2 linked regions of the Oryctolagus cuniculus genome follow. The protein of the gene in region 2 purifies or fractionates together with the protein of the main gene of each other region. This does not show direct contact. Links are inferred from orthologs where the notes say so. Each region holds a gene or a part of one and is shown on either strand. Other genes may lie near its edges.

Region 1 (4,590 bases), on a different chromosome or scaffold from region 2:
TGAACCAACGGCAAAGGAAGACCTTTCTCTCTGTCTCTCTCTCTCACTGTCCACTCTGCCTGTCAAAAAAAAAAAAAAAGAAAGAAAGAAAAGAAATAGGCCCATTTTCTTTTGTGGAACTGAGCAGTTTAAGTAGCATGTAGACAAATTCGCAACCACACTGGAAGCGTCTGTTCCTAAACCTACGACATGATTGTTTTCGTGCCCTCGGCTCTCTACTGATGCTTAAAGCCACCCGTGTGTATGTGTCTTTGGGGAAACCTTACCGGGCACGCCCTACAAAATGCTGCATCATTTAGAATGCTTCATGCTGTGGTTCAAACGTCAGTATTTCGAATATCATTCATAATACTTAACTGTGGACTTTTAGATAGAAATCATGCTTCTAAAACAAAAGACCCTCCTAACGAGCGACAGATAATTTAATTTAAACGAATTTAAACGAAATTCACTTTTAAGGCACCGAATTCAATCTTAGTTAACGCTTTAAATCTAAGTAAACACTACTAGCAGCGTCAGATGAATTGTTTTCTTATACTGCCCATTTCTGACATATGTTTGCAGAAACTTCCTAACTAAACGAACCAAGCGTCTGGCCAAGCTGAGTACCTGAGATCCACACCCACAAATACCAAAGTCCGCTACACACTGGCAATTTACCCATCAACAGGGACTCCACCTCCAACGAAACCAACCAAATAAAACCTTCATTTTTAGCTCCTCGACGTACAAGCGTTTCCTGTCGAATATAAAAGCAATCTTCCGACCGCTTCTAAGCGCGGAAACCTTCGGCGGGGAACGTGGAGGGGAAGCGAGTCCCGGGCGTGGGCGCGGGCTTATCTCCGGGTCGGCCCGCCGAGCGGCCCCGCCGCGGCAGCCTGCAGGCCGCCGGCAGCACGCCAGGCGGAGCAGCGCCCCGGAACGGCCAGGGCAGGCCGGCTGTGCGCGGGAGATCGCGGAGATTGGGCCCGAGTCAGGGCGCGATCGGGTTTCTCCCTGTCAGGCAGAGCGCTGACGAGATTGCGAGATTCCTGACCCCGGCGAGGTCCCAGGCCGCCGGGAGCTGGCGGGCGAGCACGCCCGGGAGCCGGCGCGACCCGCACACGCGCCTGGGCCCCGCGGCGCGGCTCTGCGGACGCCCGGCGGCCGGGCCCGCGCCCGCCGCTGATAACGCGTAACCGGAGCGCCGGCACGCGCCGGCAGGCCGCCTCCGGGCGCCCGCGGCCCTGCCCGCTGGCGGGGGGCCCGTCCCTCGGCGGAAAGCCAGCGTGTCCCCGGGCCGCTGCCCCCCGCCCGGCGACGCGACGCCCGGTCCCTACCTGGTCATCCTCGAAAATGATTTTGGCTGGGATTTCCTTGCGGATGATCTTCCCGAAGATCGTGTCGCCACCAGGTCGGGCGACCTGAGCCTTGGCGATCTCATCTGCCATCTCGGGCTGCCTCCCGCGCACCGGCCACGGGAGAAGCGCAGAGAAGGGAGGAAGCCGCGGAGCCGGCAGAGGGCGGGAGCGCGCGGCCAAGCCTGCGCACCGACCGCAGCTCCCGGGCCCGAGCGCGCCCGCGCGTGCGCACCGGCGACCCGGGCGGCGGGTGCGGCCGGCGCGCGGGAGCCGCGAGGGAGCCGCCCCCAGGGACTGGCCGAGGTGGCTCCAGGGAGACGCACCCGCGCCGTATTTACTTATTCTTTTCTTGGATCCGCGGAAGTGGAGTCACGGATGTAAGCCCTTAATTCGCCTAGGCACGTTGGTGGGAAAAACTGAGTCCTGTAAGAGATTTGATAATTCAGGCTGGCTGAGGCCCCAGCTGCACTTCTCTGCAGCTTAAGGTCTTCGCCAGGGCAGTTAAACCCTCCATGCTTCAGCTCTCTTTGTCTAGCAGTGGTTCTCAACCTTGAATTCACATGAAAATTATTTGGGGAGCTTTTCAAAATCCTGAACCTGGCTGCACGCCAGAGCAATTAAATCAGAGTATCCAGTGGGGCGACTCAGGCATCAGTAGTTTGCAAGCCTCCCTAGAATGTTCTACAAAGTAGTTTGCCCAGCCGCCCTTCATACTGTAAGATGCTCCACCTTAACGGAACGAAACCTTCCTCAGTCCTGCATCTCCCTCCCTATCTCTTAGTTTTCCACATACTGTGTCTACTTTGCTCATCTCTCATTTCTTTTCAGATTTATTTTATTTATTTGAAAGGCAGGACGCTAGAAGGAGAGTGACAGAGATCTGCCATCTACTGGTTCACTCCCCATACGGTGGAAACAGCCCCGGATGGGCCAGGCAGAAGGCAGGAGTCAGGAACTCCATCCTGGTCTCCCACATGGGTGGCAGGAGCCCAAGTACTCGAGCCATCATCTGCTGCTTTCCCAGTCATATTAGCAGAGAGCTGGGTGTCAAGAGGAGCAGCCAGAACTCAAACGGTACTCCAGTATGAGATGGCAGCAGCACAGGCTTTGGCTTAATCCAGTGTACCCTAACACCAGCTCATCAACTTTGATTTTTGAGCCCATTTCCCTCTTGCTGAGGTCACTAGGGACCTCCACTTACAAAATCCTACAGGCAGCTCCAGTTCTCATCATGCTAGACCTCTCGGCATTATTTGCCACTACTGACCTTCAGCGACAGTCTTCATGCTCCCACCTGTCTGAATGTTCTGTCTCCTTCCCCGTGAGCCTCCAATTCCAGACCTCTCAGTGGGTGTACGCTTGGCCCTCTTCTCTAGCGAACACCCAGTTTCCAAGTGTCCTTCTTTAGGAAAATCAGCTATACCTCCTGAACTGCCCTGTGTGATTACAGCTTACCTGTGAAATTGTCTCTTAAATTAGTGATTCACTTTCATTTCAAAACTCCCATTTGCTGCTATCAGAGACATTACTGGGACATTTGATGAAATCTAAATAATGTTCATCTCTTACTAAGATAGTAAGAAATTGGAAGTCATGTTAACATCTCCTTTCATAGCCACAGCAAAATTATCAAAATCATTTGGTCTGGGATAGAGTCCTACGAATTGGAGTTCCTGCTGGCCCTGGAACCATACTTTGAGTACTGCTGCTGAAAGGGAATGCCTTTGCTTGCAGAGGAACAAAAACCCATGGAGGTATTTAGGAGTTGCAGAGTTTATGTCTGCAACTTGATTTCAAACAGCTCAGAGAGAGAGAGAGATTCCATATATACAAAAGTAGAAGAAAGGACAAAAGCATTTGCAGTGAAATGTTAACATTTGTGCAATCTGAGTAAAAAGTATATGCTCATTCTATGTATTATTCTTGCCACTTTTCTGTACCTTTGAAATGGTCAAAGTAAAAGGTTAAATCACAGACTGGGCGTTTGACCAGCAGTTAAGATCCTGCATTCCACAGTAGTTGAATGGCTCTGCCTCCTGACTTCAGTGAACATCCTGCTGACACAGACCCTGGGAGGCAGTGGTGATGGCTCAGGTGATTGGGTTCCTGCCACCTATATGGGAGAACTGAATTTTTTTTTTTTTTTTTTTGACAGGCAGAGTGGATAGTGAGAGAGAGAGACAGAGAGAAAGGTCTTCCTTTTTGCCGTTGGTTCACCCTCCAATGGCTGCCGCGGCCAGCGCGCTGCAGCCGGCGCACCGCGCTGATCCGAAGGCAGGAGCCAGGTGCTTCTCCTGGTCTCCCATGGGGTGCAGGGCCCAAGCACTTGGGCCATCCTCCATTGCCTTCCAGGGCCACAGCAGAGAGCTGGACTGGAAGAGGAGCAACCGGGACAGAATCCAGCGCCCCGACCGGAACTAGAACCGGGTGTGCCAGCGCCACAAGGCGGAGGATTAGCCTAGTGAGCTGCGGCGCCGGCCCTAGAGAACTGAATTGTGTTTCCCAATCCCAGCTGTGGTCCGCTTCAACTCTGGCCACTGTGGCCACTGGGCAGTGAACCAGTAAATGGAAAATTGTTCTATATGTCTCTTCTCTCTCTCTCTCTCTCTCTCTCTCTCTCTGTGTGTGTGTGTGTGTGTGTGACTCAAATTTTTTTTTTTTTAAATTGGAGTTCTACTTTTTTAAGTTTTTTTTTTAATCATCCACTTAAAAGGCAGAGCCACACTGAGAGAGAGAGCACGTGCTTCAGTGTGCTGGTTCACTCCCCAGATGCCTGCAACAACCAGGATGGACCAGGCCAAGATAGGAATCCATACTACACAGAGTATCCCACATGGATGCAGGGGCCCAAGCACTTGAGCCATCATCGGCTATCTCCCAAGGATTCAATAGCAGGAAACTGGAAATTATTTTCTTAAATGTTAAAAAAAGTGTGCTGGTTTAAATAATAAATACAGCCAACTCTCACTCAATCCAAAAGCTTAAATACCTATAGAGAAATTACTCCAAAGTACTTGTCTCCTGATCTGCCTGTTAACTTAATTTCAAAATGGTCTATGAAACACATGGCTACCTACTCACAACCCCCACTTGGATATATATCAGGAAGTTCAACTTTGTTTTTACTTCCTCCACAACAAACAAAAACTTCCTCTTGCAGCATTCTCTATCACCATTCACCCAGCTGGTCAAGCTAAAAACCTAGAAAAATCTCTAAATCTTTCTTCTGTTTTCAACACATATCAGGATT
Region 2 (4,526 bases):
CTTCAGGCCAGGGCTTTAACCTGCTGCCACAGCACCAGCCCCGAGGTAGATACTATTATCCCCATTTTATAGAAGAAAGACTGAGGCACACAGAGGTTACATAAGTTGCCCTAGCACACAGCTAGTGAGTGGCAGGATTGGAATTGATTCCACAGAGTCTGAGCTAACAATTTCTGCTCTGTGCAGCCCAGGCTGTGAGGGTCTGTCAAGGCTCTCTCCCTCATTCTTTCTTTCTTTACTCCTCTCCACCTCAGAGAGCTACTGTGAATAAGAGCTGTCAGGTGTGAAGCACTCCAACTACACATGGTGTGTGGTAGTTGTCTGGAGGGTTTGTTTTTACCCTCAGTGCTGGTGGGGTTAGCTCAGCACTGGTCACGTGGCAAGCCTAGTCGGGGGGCTCCTGGGGAAGCAGCTTCGGGAGCTGGGCCTTGCAGAGGGTCTAATGAAGCTCAAAGGGGTTAGTGGCCAGTGTGCTGTGGACCTGGGGCGAGGGTCAGAAGTGAGTCAACAGAGATCCCAGGTGTCTTCAGAGTAGGTAGCCTTTCCCTGTAAACAATGCTAGCAAGCCCTCACCAGACGCTTCACAGGGAGCAAACGGGTGCATAGGAGAGGTCAGCAAGAACGTGCCCCACCTCCGAGCCTGTGCATAGCACAGCACTGAGAAGCACTGGTCACCGTACCACAATTCCGCCAAATCTGTGCACAGCTTGTGTTGACGAGGCAGGGCAGAAGCAGACGCCATGAACCCCTCCCTAACTCACATGGATCCAGCTCCAGCTCCCAACCAGGAGCAAGGAACAAAAGACTCCCTGTCGTCTTGTTAGGGACTTCCCCAGCCTCCACGCAGGCCCAGAAAAGCCCACTGTAACTCAAATGGGACCTGCTTGGACGGTGACAGTGAGCTGCTTGGACGGTGACAGTGAGCAACAGCACCATTTTGAGTTTGTGTGAAAAAAAAAAAAAAAAAAAAGCAATAGTGCCAGCACAGAACTTGGAACTGGCTGCAAAGCGAAGAGCCATGTGCAGAGGGCAGAATCACCCAACCCTAGGAAAGTTCAGCTCCCTTCAGGGATCCAGTGCTGCCTCCCTTGCACTGGAATGCAAGGCCCCAGTGAAATTTGTCAGCCTGGGTGGGTAACATTACTTTCTCATTATGTAAATTAACTATTTTGGCCTAAATAAACAAAAAGGAAATTATATCACTATAGCTAAACGAAAGAATGCAGGTGAAGCATAAAACCCAACACATAGCAGATGCATTTAAACCACTATCAGTGCATAGGTCCCTGTCCTTTCTAAATTTTTATTTTTTTGTTAGCAGATGATACACATTAAAGACACACATAATGGGAACTATTATCAGTATTTCAGCTATTACAACTTGTTCTTATTCTGAAATCATCCTATATGAAGTTTTGTCTTAAAAGACCTCAAAATCGGCCCACCGGACATTCTCTCAGGTCTCTAGGGTCTCTGCAAATTCTTTCGTCCCCGCTGTCCGGAGCAAACTCGCGCGTAACACACAGCAGGGCCAAGCAGGGACAGAAAGGACGGCAAGCTCCACCCCACCTCCGCCCCGCCCCCAGCGCGTGGTCGTAGCCCCGCCCCTGGCGCAACACCGCCCGCCGAGTCCTCTCTGGACGGCGCGATGACGTCACAGGTCCTGCGCCATCTGCGCTTCCTCGCGCCTGCGCCGCGGGCGGAAGGTCGTCCCTGTGACCGGCTTGGCGGTTGAAGCTGCTGTCGCCATGTTGTCGGTCGCCGCCCGCTCCGGCCCGTTCGCGCCGGTCCTGTCGGCCACGTCCCGCGGGGTGGCGGGCGCGCTGCGGCCCCTGGTGCAGGCCGCGGTGCCCGCCACCCCGGAACCGCCTGTGCTGGACGTGAAGCGACCCTTCCTGTGCCGGGAGTCGCTGAGTGGCCAGGCCGTGGGCCGGCCTCTGGTCGTCTCCGTGGGCCTCAATGGTGAGCCGGGCTGAGGAGTCACCCCCTTCTCGCTTCCTTCAGTCCTGGACCCAGGGAGCGGGCGAGGAGGGCGGGTGTCTGCGGGAAGGTGGAGCGGAGCCGTGTCAGGGTGGATCGGGCGGCCGGCCCGGCGCGACCTTGGGCAGGCCCTTGCACCTCCCGGCCCAGCGCCCTCACCTGTGTCGGATGCCGCTGCGTTGGGCGTCTCGAGTGATGCTCCAGCTCTGGCGTCCCCGGCCCCTGGGAGTCCTTTCTTGGCGGGGCGGGGTGGGTTTCCCAGGTTTAGGCCGAACCAGCTGCTTCCACCGAGGCTGATAGCGATGTTGCTTACAGGTCATTTGACTTTGGGCACGTTTTCAAGAGTTTTCCTACCTGTGAAATGGGTTCATGGTTATATCAATTTCGCAGGAATCTTGTGAGGCTTAGATGGAAACATTTTATGTAAAGCCATTGGCATGGTCTAGACATTTAATACTTGCTTTAAAAGAAAAGGAACTATTATTTGTATTTGGGAAGTTGTCCACCTCACCTCTAATATCTTCGGTTTATTTTTTCCATCACCCCCCCCCCCCCAAAAAAAAAAAAAAAAAACTCTCTCCGAAACAACACAGCCCAAAGATGCGTTACAGTGTGATGTGTCAGCAGTGTTTTCAGGCACCTGACCAAAGGGTTCTCACAACATAATCCATTTAACCTCAAGAAGAGTCAGATTAATAATGCTCCCATTTTACAGATAAGAGAGCGGACCACAAGAGGTAAAGTGGCTTACCCGAGGATAAGTGTGGATACATGGTGTGTGGACATGGTAGAACATGGGTGTGACAAGACTGATAATCTTAACCCAGGGCTCTTCCCAGAGATGTATTTCACACTCTGTCAGTAGGTTGCAGATTCTGTGCCTTATTTTCCGTTTCACTTTGCATCTTGGAGACCCTGAAATGGTATGCTGTCGACCATAGGTATGCTGGCAGTACAGGCTCTGGTTTCTCCATGGGTAAAGTCGGTAGTGTGCTGTGTATTAGCTGCTCCCATAGCTGGCTGTGCCCAGTTCGTCACAGTCTTTACCAGTCTGCCTGGCTCCTTGAGTTTGTGACTCCTTCCCTACAAGCTTACCAAGTTGCCTCTCTCTCTTGTTATTCTGCTTTCATGAACGCGATTCTCTGCACTTTCAGTGATTCTCCTGCTGATTTTCACATGTCCCAAGTCCTACCTGCCCTCTCAGTCTGAGTTTAGGATCAGATCAATCACATTTTAGGTTTGCTGATTTCTTTGTCTTCATAGCATATAACGCTTCCTACTCTGTGTTTATTAGGTGATTTCTCTGACCTTGATCTAAAAGGCGATGAGAGTGTTGTCTTTGTCCTCACAGCCTTGGCACAGTTGGCACAAAATATTTGTAATCGAATGTTTTTTAAGGAGCACCAGTGTGTTTTGATGGAGAAGCTGTCTAGGGCAGGGATGGACTACCCTGGCTCATTCCAAGCCTGTTCTTGAGATCTAGAGGTGAGAAAGAAGAGAGGAGAAAATTCAAACGGTGAAAATGAAAAACATCTTTGGAGTTTATTGGTTGGCCAAAGGTTTTCTTCTAAAAATTGGAGGCTTATGTGCCCTATGGAACTATTTTTCCTAAAACAAGCAAATGATTTAGAACCATAGGGAAAACCCCTTTTTTCCTGCGATCATGCCTTCAGCTTGTAGCTTAAGTTCACATAAAATCTCCTGTCTTGATGGTTTATGGGAAGACGGTAGTGAGAGTAGAGGAGGTGTTGGATCAGGAGAATATAATTTTATCTGGGGAGGATGGTTGAACTGTAGTAGCATCTCTTTAATGTGAAAGATTTCCAAGGCACATCAGAACTCACTTTAAAATAAAACCAAAAAGGGCGAAGGGGCAAGCAGGGTAAGCCACTGCTCTGCTTCCAATCCAGCTTCCTGCTAATATACCTACCTGGGAAAGCAGCAGAAAATGACCCAAGTGCTTGCGCCCCTGCCACCCAGGTATGAGAGACCTGGGTGGAATTCTGGGCTCCTGGCTTTGGCCTGGTCTGCCCCAGCTAATGGGGCCATTTGGGGGAGTGAGTGGAAATTTGTCTCTCCTCCTCTTGCTGTAACTCCACCTTTCAAAATAATAAACAACCTGTTTTGTTAAAGTGCCTTACATTTTCTCTATTTCTAGATGGTAGTTCTAGCTGATTTGGTTTGGGTTAAACTAAATTTTGCATCTATGCTACTAAAAGTCAGGCTTAATGTGGCTCATATAAATTATTTAGATAATGGTTTTTGCACATGGTAATTTTTCCTACAAGATTCTTGTTGGTATGGCATAATAAAGTATGACCTGCAAGATAGAGTGGGACAGCTATGTTTTGTTTGCCGCCAAATCTGAATGAGATGGCAAAGCCATTTTATTTAGTATTCTAGTACCTTGTGTACATTAGGGTTAAGGTTATGGATGTTGTTTTTAATGTAGAAGAATGAATTTTGGATCCCTCATCTTTTTTGTGTAATCCCAAGCAATGCTGAGAAGAAAGTGATTCATGGTCATTAGGTAGAGTAGTACGTGA

What was found.
Region 1: the proteins of UQCRFS1 (region 2) and LYRM7 purify together in Homo sapiens (co-immunoprecipitation; 5 studies listed by BioGRID and IntAct, with this or other methods). This does not show direct contact. The link is inferred for Oryctolagus cuniculus from reciprocal best matches to the Homo sapiens genes UQCRFS1 and LYRM7.

The regions. Positions count from the first base shown.
Region 1 is NC_091437.1:19,887,139-19,891,728, forward strand, and holds the start of LYRM7 (complex III assembly factor LYRM7), read left to right. Parts: upstream 1-1,581; 5' UTR 1,582-1,746; intron 1,747-4,590. Other genes in the region: adenosine 5'-monophosphoramidase HINT1, read right to left, coding at 1,320-1,430.
Region 2 is NC_091449.1:26,888,181-26,892,706, forward strand, and holds the start of UQCRFS1 (cytochrome b-c1 complex subunit Rieske, mitochondrial), read left to right. Parts: upstream 1-1,627; 5' UTR 1,628-1,748; coding exon 1,749-1,962; intron 1,963-4,526.